Drosophila melanogaster: one gene and its partners. The protein of the gene in region 3 purifies or fractionates together with the protein of the main gene of each other region. This does not show direct contact. Each region holds a gene or a part of one and is shown on either strand. Other genes may lie near its edges.

Region 1 (7,398 bases), on a different chromosome or scaffold from region 3:
GATACTGTGCGACACATCGTTCATGTAGACACACGGCGGATAGGTGTCCAGGGCGATGGCATGGAACTGATTCGAGTCCTTCATCGTTATCTCGGCGAATGCCTGAAAGTCATGGCTTGCGATGGCCTCCCTCAATCGGATAATCCGGTCGGGAACCACTTGATCCACGCGATGTTTGATCAACTGAGACGTCTTCACCGCCTGTTGCATGCCCCTTGTCGAGGCAGTCTTCTTGCGTGCATCGTTAACGACCAGGATGAGCACATGCATGTTGGGCCAGTGGTCGGATGGAGCTATTTGCCTCGCCACCGAATCGCTGCCATCATCCAGAGCTCCGCGATGCCACTGCACAAAACCGCCATACAGACTGCGACATGCCGATCCACTTCCTTGCCGCGCCACCGTCGTCAGCTCCTCATTCAGCGGTATATCGTAGAGTCGGGACAGGGAGTACACCAGGCAGGCGTAGCCAGCTGCACTGGATGCCAGTCCGGCGGCGGTGGGGAAATTGTTTACCGATGCGATGTGCAGCTTCCAGGTTGGCGGAACCTTCTGGGAGCCACTCGCCACAGCCAATCGATGAACTGCAAGTGCATTTTTTACATTAAAGTTCTATACTTTTATATATATAACTATAAACTCGCCTTCATTCAAACAGCGCTGCAGGCGGGAACTCTCTTCAAAAGGCACCTCCTCCCCATTCAGCCACATGCGATTCGTTTCAAAGGATTCCGATGCAGTCACTGTTGTCTTGGCGCAGAGCTTGGGAGATGGGATCAAGAAAGGTAATTGTTCAAGATTTTAAAAGTCTCGATAGATTGCTATTTCAAAAAATAAGTTAGAAATTACAGGATTTCGAACAACCCATATTCAAAAACCCATTTTTTTTAAGTTAGTAATTTCATTTTAATCTTAAGCAAATTCAGTGTCCACACAAATCGAAAGAGAGAGAATCGGTGAAAAGTGAAAATCCGTGAGATCTTCCCAAATTAAATAGAAAGTTTTCGTAATATTTACATTTGTGAGAAAATGAAAACTTCGACTACGCGCACTTTAAACTTAAACCATTATTAAAAGCGTCTAAGGTTTTTTAATTTTTTAATTACAATTTGTTGGTTTTAAAACGCAAATAAATATTTAAATATCTTTCATATTTACCTCATCGGTGCTCAGAGTCATGCTAATGGAATCATTGACGGGCAGAATTAGCTCTTCGTGCCGCTTTCCCCCTTTAAAGGAATGCATGTGCATAAGTTTATGTGCTTATAATATATGTATTAATTTACCCACAATATTTGATGAGCGCTATGTTTACGGGCGCCACACAAGTAACCGAAAACATGTTTGAAAATGTTTTTAATTCAGAAATTCACTTGTTTTCAGCTGCTTTCCAGCGAAAGCGACAACTGTTGACTGCGGTGTGACCACCCAGTGGACTCTTCAAATATACCATGTGGCCCCAAAAAATGTAGTTGTGGGTATTCCCCAATTACCGCCCATATTGAGGTTTGAGTCACGGCTAAATCGCTATTTCCATTTATTTTTAAACCAATGAAAGTTTGTAGTGAGTAAACATTAGTGTTAATAAAAATAGAAAATACATTAGCGTTAAGCATAGAGCTGTGTTTGGTTTTTGTATTTATTAGAATTGTATTTTAAATGTGAATACTTGCAGCCGCAACCATTCCGATTTCATGTGTTTCCAAATTATTTACGTGTTTAGTTTTCTTTTGGTTGTGTGTGGCTTTGAGAGACGCGGGTTGAGTAGCATGCGGTGCATTAACTTGGTTAAATTGAATGGGTCGGATGAAATGATGGGGACTAGCCCTTGAGGCTCGTCATGCCCGCACGCATCACCTCGTCGACGAGAAGCAGGTTGCTGGCAATGATCGAACAGGAGTTGAGGATCTGCTTCTTAACGATGTAGTTGTCGTAGACGCCCAGATCCACGGGCTTCATGGGCTCCCCGGTGGCCAGATCCAGGCCGACCAGTTCGGGACTCAGGCGATCCTCAACAGTCAGCTTGACGATTGTGTCCTGGGCATCGTAGCCGCTGTTCACGGCCAGCGTCTTGGGAATGACCAGCAGGGCATCGGCAAAGGCCTGCACTGCCAGGCGGGACTTGCCCTTGATGGTGTCCTTGAAGGCGACCAGCTCGTTGTACGCGCGCACCTCGAATGCTCCAGCTCCGGGCACCAGAGCCTTATCGGCAATGGTGTTGTTGATGGCACGCAGACCGTCCCTGATGGCGTCCTTGATCTGGGTGATCGTGTGCTTGTTGGGACCCTTGATCAGGATCGTGACGGACAGCGGGTTCTTGCAGTCCTCAACGAAAGTGTACTTGTTCTCGCCCAGAACATGCTCGTACACCACACCGGCGTATCCCAAGTGCTCCTCCTGCAGATCGTCAAAGGAGTTCATTGCAGTGCCACCGCAGGCCAAAGACAGACGCTCCATGTTGCGGCGCTTGGCGCGACGCAAGGCCAGGATGCCCTCCTTGGCCAGGGCGTCCAGCGAGATGGGGTCGATGCCCTTCTGGTTGATCAGGACGAAGGTTTTGTCGGTGCCATCGCACACGGAGCGCTTCAATTCGATCACCTTCTTCACACGCTGGTCGATGAATTCGCGCTCGGCGCGCACAAAGGCCTCACGCTCCTCGGCGGTCTTGTAGAAGAAGCCAGAGTTGACCTCGGCCTTCTCGTACTCCAGCGAGACATTGGCCGTAAGGATGTAGGCATTCTCCAAACGCTTCGGCATGTCCGGGTGGCGAGCACCATGGTCCATGACTAGTCCACGCACCAGCTGTGTATCGGTATCGGATTTGTGCTGCATCTCCATCAGCTCCACCATGTGGAGGTCCACGGGCTTGGTCTTATCGGCACTGGCAATGGTCAGCACGGCATTCACGCAGACGTCCGTAAGCAGATCGGCAAGGGCGGGATGCACCTTGGTCTTCAGACTTGTGTTGGCCACCTCCACCAGGTTCTTCTTGTTGATCTCCACGGGCACCTTGACCTGGTCGAGCACCTCCAATGCCTTGTCGCGTGCCTTCTCGAATCCATCGGTCATGATGCGAGGATGCAGTCCCTCGGACAGATAGATATCGGCCTGCTTCAGGAGCTCGCCAATAAGCATCACAGTGGTGGTGGTTCCATCGCCGGTGGAATCATCCTGGGCCGTGCTGGCCCTGGCAATCATAGAGGCAGTCGGATGTTGGATCTGCATTTCGTGCAGCAGGACATTGCCATCCTTGGTGATCTTGATGTCGCCGGCGCCAGAAACCAACCTGCGAAGTTTCTAGAATTAGTATGCTTGTTTCACTTTTCACGGCGCGTGAGTCAAGTCACGCCTCTTTCGATGCCACTTTCTGAATCACCCGGTGCTGGATATGCAGGTAAACACACATTTATGAATAAATTAAAGCCTCTGGGGGCATCTTTCATTTAAGATTCTTTTTGAAATTAAATAAAAACACCTAAATTCTAAGCTTTTTGCTCCAGAGTTGCAACATTCTCTTTCTTTCTTTTGCGATGACGCATGCCGCTAGTTCCAGTCTAACCTCAAACTTGCAGTTGCCGCAGCTGTGACCAAAACGTTTGTTTTTTCGCCTATAAACTAGCATTCTCACTCAAATTGCTAATGGAACGCAAAGTGAGGGATATTAGAGGCCGGTTTTAGTAACTTACATCTTAACGGTGCCCTTGGGTCCCAAATTGGTGCGCATCACATCCTGCAGTCCCTTGGCGGCACTGATATTGATGGCCAGAGCCTGGGCGGCGCGGGCAAACTCGGCCTTGGGGTTCAGCAAGCTAATCGAAGCCATCGCGTGTCGCAATTAAACAGAGATTTTCTTAGCTCGGCAAAATAAATCAATAGGAATCGGCACAAATCCAAGCACGCTTAAAGTTAGGCGAATCGAAGAAATCAGATGGCAAGTGTGACCAGATGGGGGAAAGACAACTAGAGACTTCAAAGCAGTACAATCGATAGTATTGTAATCACTTCCAATTTGTAACACTTTTATTTATTTCTAATTAGATTTTTCGTTGTGGTGGCTTACATGCAAAATGACATTTAAAAAATGTTTCATATATATATCTTTTTTTTTATTTAAATTTATTAAACGAAATTATTTTATTGACTAGCGTACCATTACCCTTCTTGGGCAACTTAATTTAATCGGTATCAATTTAAGCGATTCTTAATATCTAAGTTATTTACAAAGATTATATGATTATGAGTATTAAAGAAGGTCTTAAGGGTGGTAATATATTTCCCGCTAGTAATGGCTATTTCCCGCTAAATCACTGCAAAATAAGCCGCACAATTTAATCGGCTCACCTGCGACCACCGATGGCGATTAGCAAATGAAATGCAACCGTGCGCCCAAACCCCAACACTAAAAAGTTTTTTTTTATTGGCCAAATCGGGATAAAATCAAGTCAAAATAAGGCACAATACTAGAGTGCGCCGACCGCAGCGTAGAGTACCAAGAGACTTAATTGAATTCTGATTGTTAACCGGACAGGACGAGGATCCGCAGGCGGCGCGATGAGTGTCCTGGCGTATCCACGTACCAACGACGAGGAGATTTTCCGTCACTGCACCAAGGACTGCGGCATGGTGACGGCCACAGATGACTTCCAGTACTTCGCCCTGCGTTGCATCTTCTGCAGCGAGAAGTTTCTCTACTTCGACTCCTTCATCGGCCACATGCAGACAGTTCACCTGGGCGACCAGTCCGTGGCGAATACCTCCTCCCGTCTCCCCTTCAATCTCGGCGAGCCCATGTCCCTGTCCGGTCGTAATGGGGATCTGCCCAACTTCCACGAGATCGAAGACTTAACGGACGCGGACACAGCGCTGCTGGAGCCCCAAATGGTCATCAAACAAGAGCTCCAGGATCTGCCCTGCAGCGATGATGATGTGGTCGCCGGCGAAGAAGACGACGATGAGCAACGGCTGAACGATTCCGAGGCCGATGAGGACGAGGCCATATTACCCGAAAGCGATGTACCGGTGGTCAGTTCCAAGACGCGGGCACGCAAAAAGGTCACAAAGCAGCGCCAGAGGGACATGTCTAGCGAGCTTCTCATCGCCGGTGACGGCGATTCATCCATGGACGACTACGGTGATCCGGATCACAGCTATATGGACGACAATTCCGGAGAGTACATGGACTTTGCTGGATTCGACGGCGTTAACCACAGTGGTTTCGGAACCGAATCGGACTTTCTCAGCTATGATGAGATGGTGGAGGAGTCCCTGCTGGGAGTAAGTTATATTTTTATACTATATACATACAGATATTTTTGTTAAAATTTTCGCCCATCGATTTAAAAGCTACATTTATTTCACCCTTAATTTTCACTAATATCCATATATACCTATTTGTAATGATTTTATCATTTTCCCACCCCTTAGCGCGACCGGGAGGTTACGATGCACATCAAGGACCGCAAGATGATCCAGTTTCTCATCCACTCGTATCAGCGCAACCCCTTTTTGTGGGACCACGGCAATGCACAGTTCCGGGATCGCGTTAAGCGCGCCCGCTTCCTCGACTGGATTGTGCTGGAGTTCAAGAGCCGGTTTAACATCTCGCTGGCCAAGGACGCCATCACCCGTAAGTGGGACAACCTGCGCACGGTATACAAGCGGGAGTGCAATCGCATGGCTCTGGAGAAGACCAACATCAGTACGCTGTGGTACTTCAAGGAGCTGCACTTCCTCAACGAGGTATACAGCTACAACGATAAGATGTCCGATGCTGTTGTTAAGGTTAGTGGCTCCCCTTTCAATTCGATCCTATGCGTCCGCTTCTCTGAATTGGGGGTGGATTGAAACGGAACCTTGTTAGCGGATTAATTAACGTAAACAGGTGGGCGACTTGAGTAGAGACTTTATTTATTTATCCAGCGACGTGATTGGGTGGCTGACTACCAAGTCCTCCGTTTACTTTAATATCGTAATTAATGTCTTGAAAATATAAAGGTTGACTTTTCTACACCACTAATTAATTTTTAAACTGAATTTCTCCTGCATATGCGCAGTAATAGTCCTCTTCTCCTCCTTCCTACCTCAGAATGCAACTCGTAAATGCCTAATCAAAGTTGTTAGTTTTGTGGGGCTTATCAAATGTCAATCAATAACTCTCATCCTTCCGACAGGAAACCTCCTATCGCCGCCGCTTCTCGGCCATTTGGAACGATACGTCTACTGCCAAGCTGCTGAGCATGGTGAAGCGGTACCAGTGCTTTTACAACCGCTTCGATCCCGACTACCGCAGCAAGGAGCGACGCGGCGAGGGACTCCATCAGATGGCCATTGAACTGCAGCAGCTGATCGATGTGACCACCATCCAGATATCAAAGCGCATTTCCCAGCTGCGATTCGATTACTCCAAACAGAAGATGGAGCGCCTTAACAGCGAGAGGCTGGGCAAGAAATTCATTGCGAACTATTTGTACTACGATCAGATGCACTTTATGGACGACGACATTCCGCCATTTAAGTGCGCACACTGCCCGGAAATAGTGCAAACACTCAGGGAACTGGACCTCCACATGCTCACCCACCAGCCTAGTTTGGGTGGCGGTTACTATTGCAACATCTGCAGCATACAGTTCCACAATGCCCAGGAGTTCGATAACCACAAGCAGTTGCATTTGGGCGGCGTAACCGAGATCAAGTTCAACTGCGAATTGTGCACGGCCAGTTTCCGCGAGAAGGCCAACTATGATGAGCACCTGCGGCGCCATAACGAGGAGCTGTTTCTGCCCTCGCTGGCGCTTAATCACAGCATCATGGAGGGCGGCCTGGGAGATGACGAGATCGGAGTCGAGGGCGAGGAGTCCAGAGGCAGCGGCAGTCGCCGCAAAAGGAGGCACGCTGCGAAAGCAACCGATGACATGGTCGACGATGATGATCGAATTGGCGGCGGTGGTGGTGGTGGTTCTGGTGGTGGTGGCACTGACATTGCCAAGCCGTATGGATGCGATGTGTGTCGCCGCAGTTTCGCCACGCCGGGCCACCTGAATGCGCATCGAATTGTCCACCAGGATGAGCGGGAGCGGTGCTATAAATGCGACTATCCGCAGTGCAATAAATCGTTTGTGGCGCGCAACAGCCTGTTCGAGCACCTGAAGCAGCACTACAGCAACGAGGAGTTCAAGTGCGACATTTGCGGCAAGACGTTCAAGTCGACAAAGAATCTGCAGAACCACAAACAGATCCACGACAAGATCAAGCGCTACGTCTGCCAGATATGCGGTTCGGCATTTGCCCAAGCGGCCGGCCTCTATCTGCACAAGCGTCGACACAATCGACCCAATGGTGCCGTCGGCGCTGTTGGTCGTTCGGGTCGTAGCAGTCTGTGAGATAGGGATTGGGAGAGGG
Region 2 (8,205 bases), on a different chromosome or scaffold from region 3:
GCTGATCCTCGTTGTCGGGTTGGGGAAACTCTTGTCTGCTTCCTTGCCTGCTCAACGGGATGTGGTGGCTCCAGAGATAGGCTTCCAAACTGAAATGGTTGGCAATAGAAGGATTAGTTTTCACAGGCCTGTTTGGTAGGAACAAGAGGAAAATCCAGGCCAAAGACTACAATTACGTCATTTTATAACTTTTCCACGCAGTGTTACTATAGCTAAGCTTGACTGTTTTGGGTCATTTACATATAGAACTATTCAGGGCAATTCTGCGGTCAATACTAATGCAATTTGTATAGTAATTTGCATTAACTTAAACTTTTAAGTGAGCTAATAAATTCAAGTCAACATCTCGAGTTTTAATGGCCTTATTGGCCGTAGAAAAATAGACTTTTGAAATTAAACTGATACCAATGCAAAGAAAGAGTGGAATGGAAACTAAAACCTCTTTACTAAAACTAAAGAATGGCCATCTAAGCCCAGCTTTACTGTGCCTACTAGGATTTTCCAACAAGATTGCGAGTTGGGCGAACGCGAGGTGTTTGTTGCTCAATTACGGCGATTAATCTCAAGTTCGCCCTTCTGCAATAATATTTACATCTTTACTTAATGCAACTATTACAGCACACACACATACGCACATACACTGCACTTTGAACTTGGGGCTTTCGCAATGGGGATTACTATTCTTGTGGGACTGCAGAAGAGCCTCCCGAGGAGTGCGGTGATTTTTTAGGAACTGGCCATCGGAAAAGCCTCTCCCAGCGGCCGTTTTCTCGATTTTCCTCAGCTGTCACGCTCCTCGGCGAATTGAATTTACTGCCACGGATTTTGCACGATTATATACTGCAGTTTGGGCGAGCGGAGAAAATCCGTTGCGAGGCACGACCAATCGTGAATCGAGAGGTATTATATTATTATGCAGCAGCCACACACAGCAGTGTTCCAAAGAAGAAGAAGAAGTGAGGTTAGATTTTTGCCCCACACAAGAGGAAGAGGAAGCAGCAACACAACGCTAAGCGACCAGGGCTGCCGCAAAGCGAGCTGCCCACTTGCCAAACTGGAGTACAACGTAATGGCATGGCGTTGAACGTAACCGGTAATACGACAGGAAATCGAAGCGAATTAAAGGTGCAAATAAAAGAAACTGCGTTTATAGCTACAATTTGGTTTTATTATACCCTGTGGCCTACCACAATATCCCTGTTTTCGCTTCACCCAATATTATGCAATATCCAATGCACTCGGCTAACGGCCTGCATTGCTGTTAGTGCCGCCCTGGTCGGGCCTTTTAAAACAGCTGATTTCGACTGCAGCTCGCCTCGAATTTCAAAACGATGCACGCGGTCACACACACATACACAAGTTAAGGTTCAGATTGATTTGAATACGCACCAGAGGAGATTGAAATGGAAACAAGAATTGTATTTTATTCCGCTATCTCTCCCACTTCTTGTTTCGTACGTTTCGTATGTTCACTACGCACTTTCCGCTCCGCGTGTTAACACGTACACAAGTGTGTGTGTGCGTGCGTGTGTTGTTATTGTTGCTTTGCTTTTGCTTTTGCGGGTTTCCTTGCACACACACTTTCGCACCACTACGCACCTCGAATCACTGCCTCTCGCTCGCACTCACTCACGCGCTGCTGGGCAGAACGTTACGAATATTATTTATCGGGTTTTTTCGCAATTGCACACACACTCGCTGCGTTATTGGTTGCACCGTACTTGCGCCGTTCACTTGTCTTGTCAATTAACCGCAATTAGTCAATTAATTGGAGCATTATACCGCCGAAACGAAAATCAAAATCGGTTACCAGACATGTGGTTCTACGGGTCCAAAAGAAAAAGAGCAGGGTTGTTGTTCAATTCGTTTGCGTTGCGTTGCGATAGATATCGACCGATGTGATAGCTACGGTTAATAGAGATGTCCCAACCGGCTCGCAACTGATTTAATTTATTTAATGTTGTTTTTAAATATGATTTTGAAATATCTTCCAGAAAGAATTACTTTTCGAGAACAAACTTATTTTTTCCCCATTTACCACTTGATTTGAAATTGAAAATAGGACATTCAAATTTATGCGGCTTATCGATTTCACACTACTTAAGTGCTCGGAATATCATTTATTTTTATCAGAATTTATTTTTATTTAGTTTTATCAGAATTAAATATATATGTAATTTTTCTTTTTCTAAAATTTACAACGTGATTAACATAACGTAAGCAATAACGTGACGTGGCCCTCGTTTTTTAAACATTTGAAACAAATGTTTAATGTCAGATAAGCATTTTTTGTAAAGTGAGGTACATATAGATCTTTGTTTGGTTTTTCCCGTTTTCAAACAAATTTACTGGTTAAACATTTTCCAATCCATTTTTAATTGAAAGCAGCAAAACACTTTTAAAGAAAAACTGGAAATAATTATATTTCAATTGCACATTCACAAAAAGTAGTGGGTCCACAACACAAAGGGTCAGTACAGCTACAAATGTAGGGGTTAAACATATGTGGCTTCAGCCAGAAGGAGCACAAATGGGTTAAGGGTTCGGATTTTGATCCGACAAAATACCAGAAAATTTTAACTTAAGTGCTAGGGTTTGTTTTGTTTTTCTCAGGCAGATACTAAAATGGAATTCTTGAGACGGTGCGAGCCAGTTAGCCAGATAGTTGGGGCGCCTACTCCACGGTCACCGACTTGGCCAGGTTCCTGGGGCAGTCCACGTCGCAGCCGCGGAGCACGGCGATGTGGTAGGACAGCAGCTGGAGCGGAATCACCGTGAGCACGCCCTGCAGGCAGTCCACGGTCCTCGGGATCTGCAGCGAACGCGTGGAGAAGGACATGGTCTCGTTGTCGCCCTCCTCGCAGATTAGGATCGGTCTGCCCTTGCGGGACGTCACCTGCTGCAGTGCATTCATGCACTTGGTGTACACCGGATCCCGCAGCACGATCATCAGCACGGGCATCTCCTTGTCCACCAGGGCCAGTGGTCCGTGTTTCAGTTCTCCAGCCAGGATTCCTTCGCTGTGCATGTACGTCAGCTCCTTGACTTTCTGCAATGAGCAAGTTAATTGATTAAATTCAGCTCATGAAGCGTGGGACAAACATAATAATTAATTTAAGTGCACTTGGCAAATAAACAAGTTAAGTGAATTGTTGACATCGGTTATTTTCCATCATTACGTTCCCATGCATGCATTACGATGCATAAATGAGATTCGATTAAATTATAGCTCAAATTATCAAATGGATTACCAGTGCGCCCTCCAAACAGGTGGCGAAGTTGAAGCCCCTGCCCATAATGAGCAGCGACTTGTGCTCGTACAACTCCTTGGCAAGCTGCTGCACCTGCGAGTTCAGCTTGAGGACAGTCCTAATGTGCTCGTCCAGCTGCGATAGGCCATCGATGATCTCCAAGCGGCGCTGTTGCAGCGAGAGACGATCCTCCGACATGACCAAGGCGAACATAACCAGCGAAATGAACTGGGAGGTGTAGGCCTTCGTGGAGGCCACTCCGATCTCGGGTCCAGCGTTGATGTGGACGCCACAGTGCGACTCGCGGCAGATGCTGCTGCCCACCGTGTTGGTAACGCCCACGATGAGCGCTCCTCGCTGCTTGCAGTATCTGAGCGCCATCAGGGTGTCCGCTGTCTCGCCCGATTGGGAGATGAAGAAGCACACGTCGTCCCGGAAAATGGGCGTGTTTCTGTCCAGAAAATCGGAGGCCAGTTCCACCATAACGGGCAGTTCGGTCAGTTCCTCCAGCAGCTGCCTGGTGGCCACCGCACTGTGGTAGGATGTGCCGCACGCAATTAGCATCAAGCGGCGGCAGCGCTTGATCTCCGGTATGTACTCCTTGATGCCACCCAGAACCACGGTCTGCGTATCGAACCTCATCCTGCCGCGCATGGTGTTGACCACGGATTCCGGCTGCTCGAAGATCTCCTTCAGCATAAAGTAGTCGTAGTTGCCCTTCATGATCTGCTGGATCTCCATTTTCAGCGTGATGATCTCGCGGGCGTGCGGATCATCGGATGATTTGTTTAGGCGATGAATGCTGAGCGTGCCATCGCTCTTGACGGCGGCCACGTCGTCATCTTCCAGGTAAATCACCCGATTCGTGTGCTCTATAACAGCCGATGCGTCCGAGGCGAAGAAGTACTCCACTTCCTTGCGCTCCAGCGGTTGAAACTCGGCGTTGCAATCGCCGGGCGGCAATAGTTGATAGGCCTGCTGCTGCGGCTGACCATGTGGCCGATGGGCCTTGGCGTACAGGATGGGTATGTGATCGGTGGCCAGCTTGGTCTTGGCCTTGATGCCCACCAGAAGCGGTGAGCCTCGCCTGGAGGCCACGCACTCGCCCGGGAAGTGCTTCGACTTGAAGGCGATGGCGAAGGCGCCCTCCAGCTGCTGAATGGCCTGCTCCACGAGCTCGCCGAAAGTGTAGCCAGGATGCTGCTGCCACAGGTGGTGTACCAGCTTGGCAATCACCTCCGTGTCCGTGTCGGACTCAAATACATATCCGCGCTTCTCCAGCAGCGTCTTCACATCCTTGTAGTTGGTTATAATGCCATTGTGCACCACCACAAAGCTATTATCCTCATCGGATCGCTGCGGATGCGAGTTGACCTCGGAGGGCACACCGTGGGTGGCCCAGCGCGTGTGTGCTATGCCTATGTGGGTGTCGATGGGCAGCGAGTAGTCCTGGCCGCGACACACCTCCGCCACCGCATCCTCCAGCACCTTCACCTTCCCGGTGCGCTTCACCAGCATTATGGACTGTGCCTCGCCAGAGTTCAGCGCATCGATGGCTATGCCCGTGGAGTCGTAGCCGCGGTACTCCAGCCGCTTCAGTCCCTGCAACAGGAGATCCAGGACCTCCTGTCGCGACTTGGGCGTCAAGTAGTTTAGGTACGCGAATATGCCACACATTCTGAAATGCGATTGCTTTTGCTGAAATTTGCTGGTGATTCGTGGTTTTCCACGTCGCAATGTTAACTTTCCGGTCAGCTGAGGCTGATCTTACACTTCTGAGGCGGCTGCAATGCGATTGTCGTGTTTTTATCGCGACACTGGCTGGAATTTTTTTTGTTTTTCTCTGATAAACCAACCCAATTATTTGCTTTTTCGGCGAAAAGAACACGTCTTCGCCCTGCTCTCCCGCTCGCACGCACACACGCGCCGCTCTTGCGCTCTCGCTCACGCACACAGCTACAGCCACACGCGAGCTGCCATGTAAACATTGGCTTTGTGTGACCGTATTGCAGCCAGGGATGGAACGGTAATTTAATAAATTATTTTTTTACTATGTATTGAATAATATAATAAACTTTTAAAGCTATATACAAAGATGTTAACTGTGTAAATTGTCTGAAAAAGCTTAATATAATATGACCATAAAGGCCAGATCTCATTTCATAGTTGGTTTAAACGACATTCTGTTTTTCCCAAAAATATGAGCATTGAAGATAATATTTTCAACCCATGTTCTAAAGGTTTTGGAAGTTATACCAAAAAGCATAAAATGATTATTGGTTGCTGAGAGTAATCAATGGTGTATTTTGACTATATATAGCTCAAAGTTTACCGTTTATTTGAGCGTACATATGTATGTATTAACAAATTTAAGAAAATATATATATTAAAATTAATATATCGATACCCGAAAATATGCTAAGCATATTGCACATCGATATTTCTAACTGTATGTTTTTGACATCCCTAGTTCTGAGTAGAGCTGGCAACGCCGACATTGTGCAACTCGAAAACGGCGTGAAATACGTATTAAACAGCATTTATTGGCAGAAATCGGCGCATATAATGACGGTAAACAAACGCGACGCGGGTGCCACGCGACCGCGGTGCTTCTTTGACATTTCCCTGGGCGGCCTGGGCATGGGCCGCATTGTCTTCGAGCTCTTCAACGATGTGGCGCCCAAAACGGCCGAAAATTTCCGCGCACTCTGCACGGGCGAAAAGGGATTTGGCCTAATCACCGGCAAGAAGCTGCAGTACAAGGGTGTGATATTCCACCGGGTGGTCAAGGACTTCATGGTCCAGGCGGGCGACTTCTCTGCGGGCAACGGCACCGGCGGCGAGTCCATCTACGGCGGGACGTTCGAGGGTGAGTTCTTCCGGCTTCCGATTCGATGCCTGCATGCATACATACACGCTTGTGTGTGTGTGCTGCTGTTTGTGTGGGAAAAAATCAATACAGTGGTTATCTGATAAGAAGAACAGAAAACGAAAGGGAATATACAGGGTACTTAAAGTGCAATTAATAAAGAGTCAGTAGGGGGAGAAATGTAATAAAAACACTGTAAATACAGACACCCACATTTGGAGATTTAAAAACTTCCAGCCAATTACATCTAAACTGCACTACAATAATCTACTTAAGTTTAATCTTTGTCGAAAAAAATTAAAACGCTTTTGATATGCCAGCCAAAGTGTACAAATGCCCCATTTAAATGTCAAAAATAAATGTTTACTCAAGCGACTCAATTTAAATTTACATTTTGGCAAATATTTCCATTAGAAAGATAAGGGAATGGTGCACATCATACATCTACATATTGCTAATTATACGTTTGGGTGGAAAATGGGACAAATATGCAAATAGAAGCGGCTTTGGGAAATCCAATTACATGCGCATTAAAAAGTTATCTAGAAGATAACTTGAGTTGCTCATCTCTCTTGGGCTTTAAAGTAACATTTAAAGTGAATTTGGTTTAAACAATCCGATTCCTCTTTCCAGATGAGAGCTTCGAAAAGAAGCACGATCGTCCCTTCCTGCTGTCGATGGCCAACCGGGGCAAGAACACAAATGGCTCGCAGTTCTTTATGTAAGTGCTCTCGACGGAGGACCGTAACCGGCTGGTCCGGACTAACGTGGCCGTAAATTTAGTTTCAGTTCTGTTTCAGGCACCGATATTACAGCTAAACTCTCTTCGTCTTCTTTTTGATCTATACTTAAACCACTGTTGTTGTTCATTAATCTATTGCCATTTAGCCTTAGCCCGTGGGCGTTAAAGTGTGAGCTAGCGTCCCACTGACCAGCGGACAGATGCATCGCAATCTGTCCTCCATCGGCCGATGCACCGCCATCCCAGCATCCCTAGTGCATTTGGTCTGTGGGTCCAAAAACCAAGCGAAAGACGATGCAGGTCTTTCAGCTCCATGGTCTTTGGTCCCTGGGCCTGGGTCTCAGTGTGTGTCTCAATCTCTCTCTCTCTCGCTGTCGGCTCCTTGTGGATCTTTGCGGGAATCTTGGGCTGGATCCTCACGATGGATCTGCCAGATGACAATGTGCTGGCCATGGCCAGCGGCAGCGGCTCTTGCGGTTGGTGGCTTGCCAAAATCCTGTGTGCCACCTCTGCCTACACACCTAGAAACCTTTAAACTTTGTTGCACATGACATTGTCTCCGCCACAACCGACAACAATAACAACAACAACAACTGAAACAACAACAACAACACCGATTTCAACTACAACTGCCTACTGCAGCCCAACAACCAGTTAGCCAAAGTGTAAAGAATATTTTTCTCTTCTTCTGTTTCTCATTGTAGTACAACACAGCCTGCGCCACATTTGGACAAGTAAGTTAGCTTTGAACACGTTAAGTAGATCAACAGATTAATAGCGTCATATTTTCTCGTTGCAGTATCCATGTTGTATTCGGCCAAGTTATATCCGGTCAGGAGTTGGTGCGCCAATTGGAGGGCTTGCCTGTCGATCGGAACTCACGCCCGCTGCAGGATGCAGCCATTGCCAACTGCGGTGAACTAGTTAGACAGACAAAGGGTACGACTGTAATCCATTTTCGCATATCCATTATACTTGACATGCTTCTCGTCACATAGCCAAAAAGGAGAAGAAGCACAAGAGGCGCTCCACGGCCACCGAAGATTCAAACAGCGAGGAAAGTGAGGCTGAAGCAAAGGTCGTGCGCAAGGCCAAGAAGAAAAAACGCAGCCGCAAAGATACGAAGTCGCAAAGCGATAGCGAAGAGTATGTGATAGTGGTTGTTATTTTGTAATTTGTTTCATTTCATTTCGTTCGTACAGCAATGAAACAAGTCGCGGGAATGGAAAACATGACCAGACCCCGCAGGATGATGACGAGGACCGCGAGGAAGGCGAACTGCATCCGCTGGTCACAATTACAAAGATAGATCCTAACGAGATACCAGAGGTAACTGAAGTGGA
Region 3 (9,372 bases):
AATATTACAGCCAAAAATAGAAAAAGCCGCCTAAAATACCTTAAATCAGAAAATCTTTAAAATGTACAATAGACTTTAGAAATTGAATTGTTTGATTTAAAAAGTAGTTGCATTGCTTATTATTTAATTATATAACAAATTCTAGCCAAGCGCGTTGGGTTATGTCATGCTAGCTTATAATTGAAATATTTATGCGCACATATGAAGGCCAGCGAAAGGCAGTAGTTCGACCATTAGATCCCAAAGGCCAAATGAGCTGGCACCCTTTGGGCCTGAAAACAGGGCGTGCTGGGGGCGATGCATCTGCTTGGGGACAATTAGGACAGCTCGTAAATATGCCAGAATGCGCTCGGATGCATCAATGAATGTGTCAATGATTAGGCACGCCGGGACAAAGGACACGATGGCCACGATGATGGCGCAAATCGAAATGTTGCACTCCACGTTAGTAGGGAGTGAGTGGGGAGGGGGACGGGGGAAAAGGAGACCTCAACGCCTAATGCAACTGCAGTGAAATGGGGCATGGTGAGGGGAGTAAGGGGTACGATCGCCGAGGGACGAGGTGCGGTAACAGAAGGCCATAATCAAGCGAATGGACGCGAAGGACAACGGCTGCCACGATACTCAGTGCACTGGTAAAAATGGGAAGTACTTATTAAACAAATTGAGATCTATTAGATACCTATGAATATCCATTAGATTAATACAATAGTAATTCTACCCAAAATGTATATGTCAAATATTTAAAATGTGCATTCAAAACATACAAGTCTATCATTACCACTCCGCACTATTCACTTTAATGATATCTACATATTTTTAAGTACCATTGAGCTGATAAGCAGCTCGTGTTATCTTTTAGATAAGAAAATCACTAAACTGATAATATGTGCGCAATTTCATATGGTATTTATAATGCATTCAACGAAACTTTTACTGCAACTATCCACTTTCCACCATAAAATTTAAATAAATAAATGTCTGAGTATTAAATATTTTCTAGTGCACACACTCACACCCACATTCGGCACACACACACACACACACACACACATGGTAGTGCCATTGCAGTCAATTTATTGTGACCAATATTACGCCCGGACTGACTCGCCGGATAGCTCCCGTTTGTTGGTGCCAAGCGGGAGGAGGTGGGTGGCAATTTGGGAGGGGGGTGGTCGGTCTCACTGGGTGCATGTAAATTGAAAATTATGGCAATGCGCAACAAGATTAGCCAATGGCCAATGGCTGCTGGCGGTGCTGGCGGTTCCGAGCCTTCCTAACAAGACCCAAATGAATTTATCGAGATGGGCGGCGATGTGAAGGGGGACTCGCGTACCGCCCGAGTTGCACAGACATAAACTAAATGAATGCCCATGGCCGCCAAATGAAGTTATGACTTAATGTATACAGTTATCCATATATGTATCTATATGGAGGTCGAGCCAAACAAGCAGATAGCAGTCGAAATATCTCTCAGCGAGCATAAAGTTATTACAAATATATATATACATACATATGATATGCAGATTTGTGAGCAAAAGTTAGTACAGCCTGAAGCTCAAAAATGAATCAAAATCAGCGAACGGAAGCCAGTAGAACGCTAAATTATGATAATTTCATTTAATGCCTAACTGAACCAATAGTTTTCGAATATATGTATATGGCTTTTTGGAAATAGAATTGCATTTCTGTTTAATGAAATGGTCTAACAATCGAAGTTTTCGATGCTACAAGAATACATCTTAGAAGTTTTTCACACTAAAATGTTGCCAAAAATGCTGATTTCAATGCATACATATTTGTGATAAACACGACAAAGATTTTATCCAGGACACTGACATACTATGAAAAACACTGGAAAGTGGCCCAGGAATCGAGTGGATAAGGGTGCATATCCCAGTTTCGATGTGTCAAATTCATTCCACTTTGGCGCTCTGCACTCAGCAGAGTCAGTCGAGCACTTTTCTGCGCCATTTTGACACCGAATCAGAATCCGAAACACTCAGTCACTCAATCACTCACACACACACACTCTCACACACATACGCATACATCTGCAGTGAGGGGAATCCCCGTTCACAGGGCTGATAGAAATTTGCAATGAATCGCAGGCAGATCCTCATGCCACATGCACTGCTGCCTTATTATGCAAATGCTGCGACTCGAGATGCGCTCTCGCTGCCTGCCAACGTCATCGATTTATAAGTTATGCAAAGAGCGGGAGCCAGAACTCACACACCTACCCTCTGCCCCTGGCGTGTCCTTCGTATCCTTCGCATCTCGGGAACATAGAGGCTTTCGCTGTTCGACTTCTATGTTAGCATGGCTTTGCGTTGTAGTTGCCACTTTTGCTGACTGCAATCCGAAAATTTAGCTAAATCAAGCTGAGTGCAGCGACACTGAAAAAAAAACTAGCATGGACTCAAGAACTAAAATATTTAAATGAGGTTTTCTAGCCATATTATGATTTAAAAGAAGTACAATTATGTTGTTACACTCACATGTAAAATATCTAAGATAATAATATAATAAAAAACAAATTAAATGGTTAAGTTATATAAACATTAAACTTCTTATAAACATATAGTTTGGTTATGCGAATTTCTCAATATTTTCAATTAGCACATTCGTTTTCCTCTTTAAATAAGGAGAATCCACTTAAAGAAATCTGATAATCGCTGCATATTGTGCTATTTATTTTATGTTAAAAAAGTATATTCGCAAGAGCATAAAAACAATCTGATCGGGTTAATCTTAACTTTTTCGCTGCTCCATTCTCATTGATTACTACAGCACAAAAAAAAAGTGGGGAAAGCGTGGAATCCTAACTAGAAGAACGGAAGATAGAATAATGGATAAAAAACAAAGGGGCAGGGCAGCAAAAACTTAAATCATTGGCAAATACCTTTTTACGATGCGGATTTTAATCAAAGTTTTTGCCACCGCTGTCAGTTTCTTTTTTTTACTTAAAATGGTAATAAAAAAAAAAGGGGAAACGACGATAAATAAACATTTTAAAATAATTGCTAACGGCGTGTTGTTGCGCTTTAGTGAACTTATTAGTCTACCCTCGCACCGGCCAATTTCCACAATTGATTAGTTTAAAATTGCATTTTTTGGACATTTAAATGGGAATCTAATTGATTGCCATTTTTATTGAGAGCACTTAACACTATACAATGGCAGGTTTTGTATTTAAGCTATATATTCCTCGTTTATACAGTGTCAAATTAATTATTGATTTTATAAGCAGCTAAGAAAATGATTGTTTAATTTGGACCGATTGATCATCGAGGACTTAAAATGGACTTAAAATAATTGGATATTAGCAACTTTGAAAAGATCCCGTTTACTCCCAAAACTTCAGAATCAACCCACGAACTTCTTTAAGCCAGTGTGACCCCACCCGCTCTTTAGCTCTCTTTCGCTCCATCTCGCTTCCGCACATCGATTGGCGAAAGCTTCGCTCGCACTCGATATCAGCTCACAACTTCGCTTGCAAGCTCGCCGCGGAAAGCTCGCGATCACACGGGTCGAAATCGAAATCGAATCGCGGTAGAGAGCTTTTCGAAGTGCGAGCGTCGACGTTTTATTTCTGCGGCTCAGTCGGTTTTAGTTCGTTCTGTTGGAGAAAAGCAGCAATCACACGTTCGCAAGGTGAACGCGAAGACACAGCAAAGTAAGCCCTTCCCCCCCACCAACACACACACCCACCCAAAGCAAATAAGTAACAATAAATAATGGAATGGCTGGAAGACGGTTCTGGGCGATTTAAACAATTAGCGAAAGAAAGCGGCATTGAAATCCGTCTTGAATTCGCCCCGAAAAAGTGACGAAGCAGCGATCAAAGCGCAGAGCGAAAACACGCACACAGACTGCAAGTGTGTTAGATAATAAGTGCAGCACAAGTCCACACTTGAGTAAAATAATCCCTAAAAAAGCCGAATATCAATTAGTTTTCCAAGGAGCTTGAAAAAGTGCGGTATGAAAACGTGAAAATTTGCGCGTGGAAAATTATTTTGCCTTGTCAGCTGACCCCCTTCCCCGTGTTCGCTCCATCCCTGTCGCACCGCGGGTCTTGTGATCGCCGCCGCTCTTGCGCTCGCTTGCTCTCCCATTTCGAAACTCGAAACAGAAGTGGGAGTTATTCGTATTCCGATAATGAAAAACCAATATGGAGAACGAGCGACGTAAAAAAGGCGGCCCAAAGATTTTTACCATTTCCCTTACCCACTTTTTTTTCATTTGTCAGCTGACGGCAATGACAGTAGTCTTGTGATCAACGTCAAAAGCAATTGTCAAATATTCGAACTCGAATGGAGAGCGAGAGAGCCAGAGCGGAGAGTTGCTCTCCCACTCCACCCTCTCTTGTTTTTCTTTGCTGATAATTATGAAAACCCGCATATTTTGAAAAACATGCATTTCAGTTACATTCCTCCGTTGAATTTGTCAACCTGTGGTTGTTTTTTCACAGCTCTTATTTTATTTATTTAGCGATTAGTTTGACAAATTGCTCTCTTCGAACTTTCAAAGCTCTGTCACGTGAAACGAAAGCTCTGCTTTTAAAGTTTTACGCAGCATAATCAAAGAGGGGGAGTTAAAAAAAAAATAATTAAATCAATCGAAATTATTAGCTGCTAACCTACAACTTTATAACCTATAATCGAAAAATTTGGGAGCTGTGGGCTCTACAAAAACTTAACCTGTAAATGTAGCAGATACACCTGCCCCTTGTCAGCTGACAGAGGGCTGAGCAAGAAATTAGTGATAAGAAAATGTTCACCTTTATCTTCGCCCTTTTGCAGCCAGCATTTAACAATTTTCCTCTTCTATTTTCCCTCCATTGCAGTCGAAAAAACAGAATAAAGCAAAATGTCCAACCTTAAGCGTTTCGATGATGAGGAGCGTGAGTCCAAATATGGACGTGTCTTCGCTGTCTCCGGTCCTGGTAAGCACCTAACTATACTGACTAACCATAACTCATGCTATCTAAAAGTTAATAAAAATAAGTTAATAATACCTGTGAACTGGAAACCTTACTTTGATGATTAGTCTAGAACTTACACTTCTGTGTGAAATAATGGCAACTTTAGAAATGTGTCCACCTATTTGTGATTAATATTCAAACAACTCAAACATTTTGGTTTCATTATTCAAAATTAAATGTGAATAATTTTAATAATTAATTAATTGTTTCTTTAAACTTTTTTCTATAATTCTAACAAAAACATCATCAAGTATCATTAATAATAAAAAATTTTAAAAGAAAATGTTCAATGGAACCTATCTTCGTTTGCTGAGTTATAAAAACTTCTTGAATGAAATGTAGCCCCCCTAACCCGACCAACCGCTTCATTCCAGTCGTCACCGCCGAGGCCATGTCTGGATCAGCTATGTACGAGTTGGTCCGCGTCGGCTACTACGAGCTGGTGGGCGAGATCATCCGTCTGGAGGGTGACATGGCCACCATCCAGGTGTACGAGGAGACCTCTGGCGTAACTGTCGGAGATCCGGTGCTGCGTACCGGCAAGCCTCTTTCCGTGGAGCTGGGACCCGGTATCATGGGCAGCATCTTTGACGGTATCCAGCGTCCCCTGAAGGACATTAACGAGCTGACCGAATCCATCTACATCCCCAAGGGTGTGAACGTGCCCAGTTTGTCCCGCGTGGCCAGCTGGGAGTTCAACCCCCTGAACGTCAAGGTCGGCTCCCACATCACCGGAGGTGACCTGTACGGTCTGGTGCATGAGAACACTCTGGTCAAGCACAAGATGATTGTGAACCCCCGCGCCAAGGGAACAGTGCGCTACATCGCCCCCTCCGGCAACTACAAGGTCGACGATGTCGTCCTGGAGACCGAGTTCGATGGAGAGATCACCAAGCACACCATGTTGCAGGTGTGGCCAGTGCGTCAGCCACGTCCCGTGACCGAGAAGCTGCCCGCCAACCACCCCCTGCTCACCGGACAGCGTGTGCTCGACTCGCTCTTCCCCTGTGTCCAGGGCGGTACCACCGCCATTCCCGGAGCTTTCGGTTGCGGCAAGACTGTGATCTCGCAGGTGAGAGTCCCACAAATTGAGAATTTAAGGAGCGATGCCTCGTGTAGCCTCCATACACTCAAGTTTCATAAAAATACAATCCCTAATAAATCATTTACTTGCTTGCAGGCTCTGTCCAAGTACTCCAACTCCGATGTCATCATCTACGTCGGTTGCGGTGAGCGTGGTAACGAGATGTCTGAGGTACTGCGTGACTTCCCCGAGCTGTCCGTGGAGATCGACGGTGTCACCGAGTCCATCATGAAGCGTACCGCCCTTGTGGCCAACACCTCCAACATGCCTGTGGCTGCTCGTGAGGCCTCCATCTACACTGGTATCACCTTGTCCGAATACTTCCGTGATATGGGTTACAACGTGTCCATGATGGCTGATTCCACCTCCCGTTGGGCTGAGGCTCTTCGTGAAATTTCTGGTCGTCTCGCTGAGATGCCTGCCGATTCCGGCTACCCAGCCTACTTGGGAGCCCGTCTGGCCTCCTTCTACGAGCGTGCCGGTCGCGTTAAGTGCTTGGGTAACCCCGAGCGCGAGGGATCCGTGTCCATTGTCGGAGCTGTGTCTCCTCCTGGTGGTGACTTCTCCGATCCCGTGACCTCCGCCACTCTGGGTATCGTGCAGGTGTTCTGGGGTCTCGACAAGAAGTTGGCCCAGCGCAAGCACTTCCCCTCGATCAACTGGCTCATCTCCTACTCGAAGTACATGCGTGCTCTGGATGACTTCTATGACAAGAACTTCCCCGAATTCGTGCCGCTGCGTACCAAGGTCAAGGAGATCCTGCAGGAGGAGGAGGATCTGTCTGAGATCGTGCAACTGGTCGGCAAGGCCTCTCTGGCCGAAACCGACAAGATCACGCTGGAGGTGGCCAAGCTGCTGAAGGACGATTTCCTGCAGCAGAACTCCTACTCCTCGTACGATCGCTTCTGCCCCTTCTACAAGACCGTGGGCATGTTGAGGAACATCATCGACTTCTACGACATGGCCCGTCACTCCGTGGAGTCTACGGCTCAGTCTGAGAACAAGATCACCTGGAACGTGATTCGTGAGGCAATGGGCAACATTATGTACCAGCTGTCATCCATGAAGTTCAAGGTGGGTTAACACGCAAATTTATCCATTGCCTAGACACTGGGTGACCACATTTTTCAATCCATTTCAGGACCCCGTTAAGGATGGTGAGGCCAAGATCAAGGCTGACTTCGAGCAGCTGCACGAGGACCTGCAGCAGGCCTTCAGAAATCTGGAGGACTAGAGACCGCGCTGGCCCTACTTTTACACTCTAATCTTATATTTGTTATATAGTTAACGTTTAAAAATGAAAGCAGTCAAAAACCATCCGAAAAAGCCTAATCAAACACCAACAATTCCGTGCTGCATTCGATGAAAAACAAAAGTCCAACAAATACCACAACTTCTTGGTGCCTGCGAGAGATGTAAACATTCCGGCCTGCGGTTAATACTTTCCCCTAACCACGCCCCCTCCGCCCCTTGAAGGGCAACTCTAGGCAACAGCAACTACAACGTCCTGCTATGTACTTCCATTTACAACAACAACACCAACATACACTTGAATAAAAGTACACGGACACTGGCGCACACACAACACATACATAAAAGACACAAATACAAATGCATGCATAAATAGTATTATTGTTTAATGAATGGAAATTCTTGTTTATTTGTGAAAAAAGTCATGTTTTCTCCCTGTTTGTTTGTTAAATTTATGTAAATATTTAAAGTATGAAATATTAAATGTACGAATAAAGTGCAACAACAAATACATTTAATGTAATTGAAAGTGAATTTCACTGGCAGCAGAATGGATATTAAAAATGTGTCAACTCGATAAAAAGATAATAAGTTAAAATATTTTTTTGAATTTTAAACCTTCATTATATAAACATACTTGACTATATGAAAGCTAAGAAAATGGGAATATATTGAAAAGCATAATCTAAAATCCTATATCATTCTCAGTCATCACCTTAGTCTTTCCATAAACTTCTGCCCCATTTATTTTATTTATTTGACAATATTAGTAAAAATTGTACCAAGTGAAAAAATTGTATATATTTAAACCAAATGGAAAAGAAGTCCTGGGTTGCACCGCTTACCTCGTTCACCAACAGTAACGCAAGTAACGAAGACAGAGCCCGCAACTCGGGATCGTTAAACCAAGATGGGGAGCCAAGGTCCGTGCCTCACCCAACGGTTCCGGCTAAGAAGTGCACATGTCCAACCTGCGCTTGCCAACGTAATGACCATAAATCCAATCCGGTACCCCCTCCCCCTCAATCACGCAAGCCTGTAGCCGAGCCGGAAAGTCCCCATGATACAGTCAATGACGAGGACAGTTTGAAGGACTTGAGACGTTCGACGGACCAATCCCACAAGAGCGCTCACATCGCCTTGGAGAAGAATGAGGACTCGGGTTTTGTGATCGAGCAGGTGGTTGATACGCACAAATATTCGTCGGATGAAGAAGAGGAGGAGGCGACGATGGGTCGCATTTTCGGAGTCTCCGGTCCGGTGGTCAATGCCGAGGAGATGGCCGGCGCAGCCATGTACGAGCTGGTTCGCGTTGGACACTCCCAGCTTGTTGGTGAGATCATTCGACTGGAGGGTGATATGGCCACCATTCAGGTTTACGAGGATACTTCGGGTGTGAGCGTGGGTGATCCCGTCTACCAGACGGGAAAGCCGCTCTCCGTGGAATTGGGACCCGGCATCATGGGCAGCATTTTCGATGGTATCCAGCGACCATTGAGGTCCATCAGTGAACTAACCAACTCCATATACGTGCCCAAGGGCATCGATACGCCCTCCCTGCCCAGGAACATTGCGTACGAATTCACACCCGGAAAATTGAAGATCGATGCTCTGATCACCGGCGGAGACATCTACGGATCTGTTTTCGAAAACAGCATGATGCACGATCACCGCCTGATACTACCGCCCCGCACCAAGGGGCGCATCCGGTGGTTGGCCCCGCCCGGGAACTACTGCGTGGACGAGGTGATCGTGGAGACGGAGTTCAACGACGAGATCACCAAGCACACCATGCTCCAGGTGTGGCCCGTACGGAGGTGTCGTCCGGTGGAGGATAAGCTCCCCAGCAATTCACCACTCTTGACTGGCCAGCGCGTCCTGGACGCCTTCTTTCCATGTGTCCAGGGCGGAACCACTGCCATTCCAGGAGCGTTTGGATGTGGAAAGACCGTCATCTCACAGGTGAGAGGGTTTCTAAGAGTTTAGTTGACAAATGATTACATTCCAATCAACTTATACCCCTAGGCCCTGTCCAAATACTCCAACTCAG
Region 4 (7,232 bases), on a different chromosome or scaffold from region 3:
CACTACCTCTCGCTGAGCGACAAGACCTGGCGCAAGTGTCCTATCTGCTATGACGCCATCCACGCGGGAGATCTGAAGAGCTGCACCATCGAACAGCTGAGGGATTTGCAAGTGGGCGAGAAGATTACCTTCCAGTTGATGCGGCGTCGCAAGGGCTCCATGTACATTGAAAATCATGTTGCAGGATTGGGCGAAACAATTGAACGTTTCCCCTTTGTGTCCGCTGGTGAAGAGGCTAAACGCTACTCAAAGTTTCTAATAGCCAAGCGGATGGATGTGGCCGCCATCATCGAGAGGGAGCGTAACGAACTGCTAGCCGAATCGGATGTCTCCTGTCCCGAGGATGTGTTCATCCAGCAAGCGCTGGTGATGCTTCAGGAGCGTGTTGAGAAGTTGGGTGTCGAGAAACCTGATCCGAAAGAGGATGAAGAGGAGACAGCACCTGTACTTTGCCTAGAAACCGAGACCAAGATTGATATTGAGAAGTCAGACGATGCCTCCATCTCGTCGGGAGAAGCATCCAGCAGCCTTAGCTACTCGAGCAACCATAATAAATACTATTATTTCTACCAGTCAAACGACGGACAGAATATTTACTTGCATCCCTTGAACGTGAAGATGCTTCAGGCTTGCTACGGCACCTTGGACTTGGGTCCGCTACTCATCGAAGCCCAAATCGTGCAGATGGAACAGCACTCTATGGATGAGGAGCATCGACGCAAGTTCACTTGTCTTGGCCACTTGCCTTTGACTTGTCAGTTTTCGGTTGTGGAAGTCGAATTGCAGCCGCCAGTGGTCACTGGAGGAATACTCAAGCTCTTTAAGGGTAAGTCCACTAGGTCCATGTACAGCATTATGCTTATATGTATTCCTTCCGCAGAGGACATTCTTCATCGTAAGAAGGAACGACAGCGTCGGGATCGCGAGGAGCGCAAGCGAGAGCAGCACATCAACGAGATAAATGACCGCCAGATGGGCAAACTTATTGCCAGTGCAGCTAACCTTGACCTAAGCTCCTCCCATGAGTTTCCCACTGTGAGCTAGCAATGCCTGCCATTAGTGTCAATTATTAATATGTGATATTTTATCTAAAGTGCGGCTTCGAGGAGGCTTTGCCCGCTCCCAGTGGCTCTGTGCCCATGAACATCAGCAACCAGGACCCCGGTTCCCGATACTCCAGTGTCACTCTGGGAAGTCCCAAGCAGGAGATGTGGCCCACTATTGGAAGTAATTCTCCTGGAGGTGGTGGCGCGCCATTGGATGTTCAAGTGGGCGCCTGGGGCCGTTCAGCTCCACCGCCGCCACGGGCTGTAATGGTCCCAAGAACCAGCGATGAGGACTTTGAGCAGCGATCTGTGGGCCACTGGGGTCTGGGAGAACTTTTAGTTGGAGCCTTGGACCAGAAAAAGCAAAAGGTAGGAGCAGCAAAATCCAATGGAGCAGCTCCAGCGGAATCGAAGAAGCAAAAGAAGGCCAAGGGCAAGAAGATGGTTCCCCTGTTCGCCACGGGCATGAACAGAGCTCCATGAAGAGCTAGATGATGATCGCTTATGAAGTTACAAGATTTATTGTATTTTTGTTTTTATGCGAATATTTCAACGTTATTTTAAATAACAAATGCGATTGTTCTATCATTGAAGAGGATTTGGAAAATCATTCAGCTAATCTATAATTTAACCCAACTTATATTCACAATACACATAAGATAACCAATAAAGGCAGCAAGTAAAATATCAAATAAACGCCTTTTTACTTTCTTGCCAAAAGAAATATTCATAATTTAACTGAAATTTATCGGAATGTATTTTAAGCGCATACTTTTTCTGGTAGCTCTTTTAAATATGTATAAAAGTGCCTACTGCGCTGTTCCATTAAACTTCAAACATATTTATTTATGTTTTAATTGATAGGAAGAGGCCAAATTCGTCTTTAGTCGCTGCGTCGCTCGTCTACGACATCCTTATGCTCTGGTTGCTCCGAGTAATTGAGGTTTGCTGAGGCATTCACCTTATCAGGGCGCTTTTGTTTTCGACTAAGGGATACGCAACTACCAGACCCGTAGTCTGGTGGCAGCTCCATGTACTCATCCTCAGAGTCTAAGTCGTCTGTTGCGTCTGGATCGTCACCGTTTACGGAGCCATTCGGACTGCCTGGTGGGCTGAGTGCCTGAATGATTCGGCCCTTGGACTCGTTCCAGAAGGTGTTAAGCCGCTCCCGGCCGAACAGGAGCAGGAAGGCATCGATGAACTCGCGCGACTTCTCCTCCCACTTGGTGATGATGTCAACCTTGACTTTGGTCAGCTCCCGCTTGCCTCGTGTCTTCAGCTCGTCCATCTTGTTCTGCAGACGGAATTTCTTCTCGGAGAGAAAGGAGACGTTGAGCTCCTTGGCTGAGTAGCCTCTGGCCAGGTTCCTGCGCACATATACATCGTAGTCCTTCACGATTCGGGCCACAATGTCCGACGTGGACACGCCCTCAGTGCGTTCCGTGGCCACAAACATTCCCTTCGCTTTGAGTGGAGCATATATGTCGTTGACTCCGCCAGCTCCATAGGGTATGTCATCGTGGGCCACAAAGTCGATTTTGTGCTCCTCGATAAACTCCTCATTTAGCGTCCACGGAGCATTCGGAACGATCTTGTGATGGATCGAAAAGTGTATAGAAACATTTCATTGGTTCAGTTTAACACACTTACCTCATCCACGTAGCGGCAGTGGCGCACCGCCTCGTAGCGCTCGAATCCATTCATAACCGTGCGTCCCTTCATCCTGAGGGTCAGCTCATCATTGCACACGCCGACGATGAGATAGACGTTGGGAAACACATTCTTGGCCTGCATGAGTTGGCGGGCATGGCCTTGGTGGAACAGATCATATATGCCATCTGCATAGACCCGCACCCTGCGCGTCGTCTTCCCAGCTCTGGCCATATGATAGGTGATCCTCTGTGTGTAGTCGCATCTCTCGAGCTCCAGCATGGCCTTGTCATCGTACGAGAAAGGAGCAGGCTGGCAAATGCTCTGGAGGCGTTTTGGGGTAGAGAGATTAGTATGTGGCAACTCCTGTTCCTCTAAGGAGTAGCCTTACAAAATCCTCAAAGTCCATAAAGAGCGGTAGCATCTTAAACTCCATCGGCGATGTCGGTGTGGCAGGAGCCGTCGACACTGGAGATTCGTCGTCCTCTTTCGGCATTCTGTCCATTGCTTATAAAAATATATGTACGAGTATACACAACTAAGTACAGCACTAGTGGTCCGCTCAAGGGGATTTCATCCGGACGACTGATTACATAAATTGAGACGGAACCGGCATAACCCTCTAGGTCTACTCTGTCGAGGATTGAGTCCGAGACTTTGAGCGAGAGATGTCCCCAACTGCGCACTAGCTGCGATCAGAATAAATTGGCGGCAACTGGTGGCGAATCAATACAATTGAGTCCAGCGGCTGGCGAGGCACACGACTTGGAGGCGGCTCTAGCAGTCTCAGGCCCAAGTCTCTGGCTCGGATTCATCGCTCATCTTCAATTGCCGCAAATTGCGGCGCAAGCAAATAGGAAGCAACGGGTCGGTCGCCTGACTTGGCACGGGTCCGCCGATTCGATCAGGCGATGGGTGCGCATCTATATATAAACCGCAGCGCCATTAAACAAATCAGTGAACCGCTTCAAGCCGGTGAATGGGCAGCTAATTGCGAGGGAATGGGTGTCCAATCAAGGCAAACGGTTTCATCATCATCGGTGGCGCGCGCTCAAGAATTCCAGCAGTGCCATGGATGGCTGCTGAATCGGATGCGCAATTGCTGGATAAACGTATGAGATAGCAAACTGATTCACAAGCCACTCGCTTTACTTCTATTTCCTTTCGATTCAATGTTTATTTTTCAAAAAATATTTAACAAAGCATTTGCAATAGTTCCGCTATTGCCAACTGTTACTAATTACTTGTTTTTGTTTTTTGCATTTTCCGAATGTATTTCGTAATTTGTTTGTTTGGATTTCTCTATATTGGTTGGTGTTCTGGTTGCGGTGTTGTTAACTTAGTTTAATGTTATGCGAAATAATTTAATATAAATATTTCTAGATATTTTCGGCACCTGAATCTGCCGCCACTGCCGATTGATTTCGTGCACAGTCCGTCGAGTGCCTAATACAAAAATGAGTCTTTTCCGCGTTGGTGGTTGCTTGTCCCACACACACACACACACAGCTAAATTAGCTACAGGATTCCCTCGATTCTCACAGATGGAGATGGGCAGGTGGAGTTGAGGCAGGAGGAGAACGAGTGCCAACTAAAACATTGGGATTACAATACCACTTAGGGCTAGAGTAAATATAAGTGTGTGTTCGTGGAGCCTGCGTGGCGATCCTGGGGCATCTATAGTGTGCCGTCGAACTAGTTGCAAGCAAGTCCATTTACAATAGCATTAAAGACATTAAGAGAAGAAGAAAAGATCGGGCTGCCCCGCAATAGAATCAATTGCTTCGACGCTCGTACTCCGCATCCGCATCCGCATCCTCGTCCCCATCCGCTTCCAAGTCGGGTGATTGGCTCTGCAGACTCTGGTAACTGCGGCGGGCCAGCGAGGAGCGCTTCTGCTTCGGCCTCTGTTTGCCGTTCAGCGATCCACTGCTGCCGCTGCCGCTGCCCCCGCTCAACTTCTCGGCCATCTCCAAGTACTCGTCAATAGTTTCGCTGTAGTCCTCGCCGCCCTCCGTGTCATCACCGTTCACTGATCCCGACGGGCTGCCCGGCGGACTGAGTGCCTGCAGCAGCTTGCCCTTCGACTCGTTCCACAAATGATTCAGGTTCTCACGTCCGAACAGCAGCAGGAAGGTGTCGATGAATTCGCGCGACTTCTCCTCCCACTTGGTGATGATGTCCACCTTCACCTTGCTCAGCTCGCGCTTGCCGCGCGACTTCAGCTCGTCCATCTTGTTCTGCAGCCGGAACTTCTTCTCGGACAGGAACGACACATTGAGTTCCTTGGCCGAATAGCCTCTGGCCAGATTACGACGCACATACAGATCGTAATCCTTGACGATCCGGGCTACGATGTCCGAGGTGGACACACCCTCAGTGCGCTCCGTGGCCACAAACATGCCGCGCGCCTTGAGAGGAGCATAGATGTCGTCCATGCCATCGGTTACATACGGAATGTCGTCGTGGGCCACAAAGTCGATTTTGTTGTCGGCGATGAATTCATCGGACAGAGTCCATGGCGCATTCTGGACGATCTGCAAGACAGAGTAAGATGCTATAGACTGAAAGATCTCTAATCAGTGCCGGGCAGAACATACCTCGTCCACATAGCGGCAGTGACGCACTCCCTCGTATCGCTCGAAGCCGTTCATCACGGTGCGTCCCTTCATGCGGTGGGTGAGCTCGTCGTTGCACACGCCCACAATTAAGTACACGTTGGGAAAGATGTTCTTGGCCTGCATTAGTTGGCGGGCGTGGCCCTGGTGGAAAAGATCGTAGATGCCATCGGCGTAGACCCTCACCCTGCGGGTCGTCTGTCCGGAGCGGGCCATCTGGTAGGTGATCCTTTGAGTGTAGTCACATCTATCCCGCTCCAGCATGGCCTCCTCGTCGTGAGAGTAGGGCGCCGGCTTGCAAATTGTCTGCAGGAAGAAAAGTTCCCGATTAGTTGGGCTATTCAACTGGACGATTGTGTCCTTGGTCTACACATTCTTTCTCGATCTTATCACACATCGTCGGAAATATACGACTCACGACTCGAACATCAATTTCAAACGATTTCAGCTACTACGATTTAGACTAACTTTGCATCCTAACTCTTGACTACTTACCGCAAAATCGGAGGCCCCGCTGAAGAATTGCTGCGAGGTGGATGCGGGCACCACCCGGTGATTCGGCGACGCCTGCTGCTGCGGGACGTACTTCCGCTTGACGCCGTTGAGGTAATCCGACTGTGGGGGCAGCAGGTCCTCGGCGGCTGCCGCTTCGCCGCCATCGTCGGCGTCGCTTTGTGAGATGGTGCGTGTGCTGTCCCGCAGTGTGGTGGCCGAGGTGGTGGGCTCGCTGGCTCCCTCGCCGACCACCAAGACACTCTCCAGCTGGCCGGGCCTGCTCTTGGACTTGCCGGGGCTGTTTGTGCGCTGATCCTGAACTTCCGATACCTTTGTGGCGCTGCTGGAGGCGGTGGACGAGGGCATGGCAATGGCTATCTCGTAGGTCCGCTTCCGGGTGGTCAGTGTGGAGCCGGGGGACGCGCTGCTGCTGGGCGTGGCCGGTGGCGATGTGCTATTAATTGTGCTTTTGGCGAGTATCGATGAGGTGGCCATCGCAGCGAATGTTTGGGAGCGGCAGTTTTAACGGCTTCGCGACGCGGTGACGGAGGAACAGAGATTCAATTGACTTTCAGCTGGAAGAGATCGAGAAACAGATTGGTTACCATCAATGCTCTACATTACTTTCCCATATTTTGTGTGTTACGTTTCGTTTACATCACATTTAGTCTTATGAAATTATAAAGTTTTTCTTTGAAACCGCATTTGGTTAGCTTTGCATTCTGTTTATATGTAGTTGCAAGCATCATTTATCAAATTTCTTCATTCGCTGGATTTTATTCAAATTTCCCTTTGCCAATTTTTCCACCACTCCAACTTGTAACTTTTAGCCAAAGGGTTAATAAGTTTTCTCAAAAAGGAATAACAATTTTACTTCAATGAACCAACACAAGTTGTATTCTTGTTTTGTTTAATCGACACATATGCACTTGTTTACCAAGCAATTTATAAATAAAATCCAATAAAGCAGTAAACAATTCGAAATAAACAAAGTTATTTTTGAACTACAATTTAATGCATTGGTGCATAAGCAAAAATATATTACACATTCGCGCAGCTAATGGAAAGATACTTTCTTGTGAAACCATTTTTATGTAATCAGATATTCCCTTTTCATTAACCCAAATATTTATGACTCGGGTGGCAGTAGTTCTGACTGTTTTGCGCTGACGACACGTGACACCTGACCCCGCGCCCCCAGCCACGCCCCTTTTCTTCGAAGTTGAGCCACGGCCAAATCGATTTCAGTTTTAATTGCCAAATGGCCGATTCAATTCGCCACGCGCATCGCACCAGAGAAATTCCGCAGAAAAAAAAAACGCAACTGAAACAGCGGGTAAACAACAACACGGCTCGGTGTCGGTAATAATAGACATACAGAGACACGTAGTACTCTCGATAGGAGCGGGATGATGAGCAAGTG

Evidence for each region.
Region 1: the proteins of Vha68-2 (region 3) and CCT6 purify together in Drosophila melanogaster (affinity purification with mass spectrometry, with the first as the bait; one large-scale study listed by BioGRID). This does not show direct contact.
Region 2: the proteins of Vha68-2 (region 3) and Gfat2 purify together in Drosophila melanogaster (affinity purification with mass spectrometry, with the first as the bait; one large-scale study listed by BioGRID). This does not show direct contact.
Region 4: the proteins of Vha68-2 (region 3) and Pcyt2 purify together in Drosophila melanogaster (affinity purification with mass spectrometry, with the first as the bait; one large-scale study listed by BioGRID). This does not show direct contact.

What each region holds. Positions count from the first base shown.
Region 1 is NC_004354.4:15,743,196-15,750,593, reverse strand, and holds CCT6 (chaperonin containing TCP1 subunit 6), read right to left. Parts: upstream 3,947-7,398; 5' UTR 3,824-3,946; coding exon 3,687-3,823; intron 3,287-3,686; coding exon 1,822-3,286; 3' UTR 1,623-1,821; downstream 1-1,622. Other genes in the region: Mvd (mevalonate diphosphate decarboxylase), read right to left, coding at 1-584, 645-762, 1,159-1,229, 1,291-1,342; CG8944 (uncharacterized protein), read left to right, coding at 4,552-5,274, 5,425-5,781, 6,171-7,379.
Region 2 is NT_033777.3:28,334,619-28,342,823, forward strand, and holds Gfat2 (Glutamine:fructose-6-phosphate aminotransferase 2), read right to left. Parts: upstream 5,148-8,205; 5' UTR 4,929-5,147; coding exon 3,252-4,928; intron 3,050-3,251; coding exon 2,675-3,049; 3' UTR 2,401-2,674; downstream 1-2,400. Other genes in the region: Moca-cyp, read left to right, coding at 5,817-6,120, 6,754-6,841, 7,567-7,596, 7,662-7,801, 7,861-8,008, 8,065-8,191.
Region 3 is NT_033779.5:12,970,765-12,980,136, forward strand, and holds Vha68-2 (vacuolar H[+] ATPase 68 kDa subunit 2), read left to right. Parts: upstream 1-3,557; 5' UTR 3,558-3,679; intron 3,680-3,857; exon of another isoform or gene 3,858-3,982; intron 3,983-4,421; exon of another isoform or gene 4,422-4,459; intron 4,460-4,637; exon of another isoform or gene 4,638-4,705; intron 4,706-4,849; 5' UTR 4,850-4,872; coding exon 4,873-4,948; intron 4,949-5,361; coding exon 5,362-6,059; intron 6,060-6,167; coding exon 6,168-7,145; intron 7,146-7,212; coding exon 7,213-7,305; 3' UTR 7,306-7,843; downstream 7,844-9,372. Other genes in the region: Vha68-3 (vacuolar H[+] ATPase 68kD subunit 3), read left to right, coding at 8,136-9,284, 9,348-9,372. UniProt on the Drosophila melanogaster protein: Catalytic subunit of the V1 complex of vacuolar(H+)-ATPase (V-ATPase), a multisubunit enzyme composed of a peripheral complex (V1) that hydrolyzes ATP and a membrane integral complex (V0) that translocates protons.
Region 4 is NT_037436.4:1,549,866-1,557,097, reverse strand, and holds Pcyt2 (phosphocholine cytidylyltransferase 2), read right to left. Parts: upstream 3,606-7,232; 5' UTR 3,202-3,605; coding exon 3,088-3,201; intron 3,021-3,087; coding exon 2,697-3,020; intron 2,638-2,696; coding exon 1,930-2,637; 3' UTR 1,783-1,929; downstream 1-1,782. Other genes in the region: CG12099 (uncharacterized protein), read left to right, coding at 1-826, 881-1,035, 1,095-1,529; Pcyt1 (phosphocholine cytidylyltransferase 1), read right to left, coding at 4,472-5,233, 5,297-5,620, 5,810-6,304.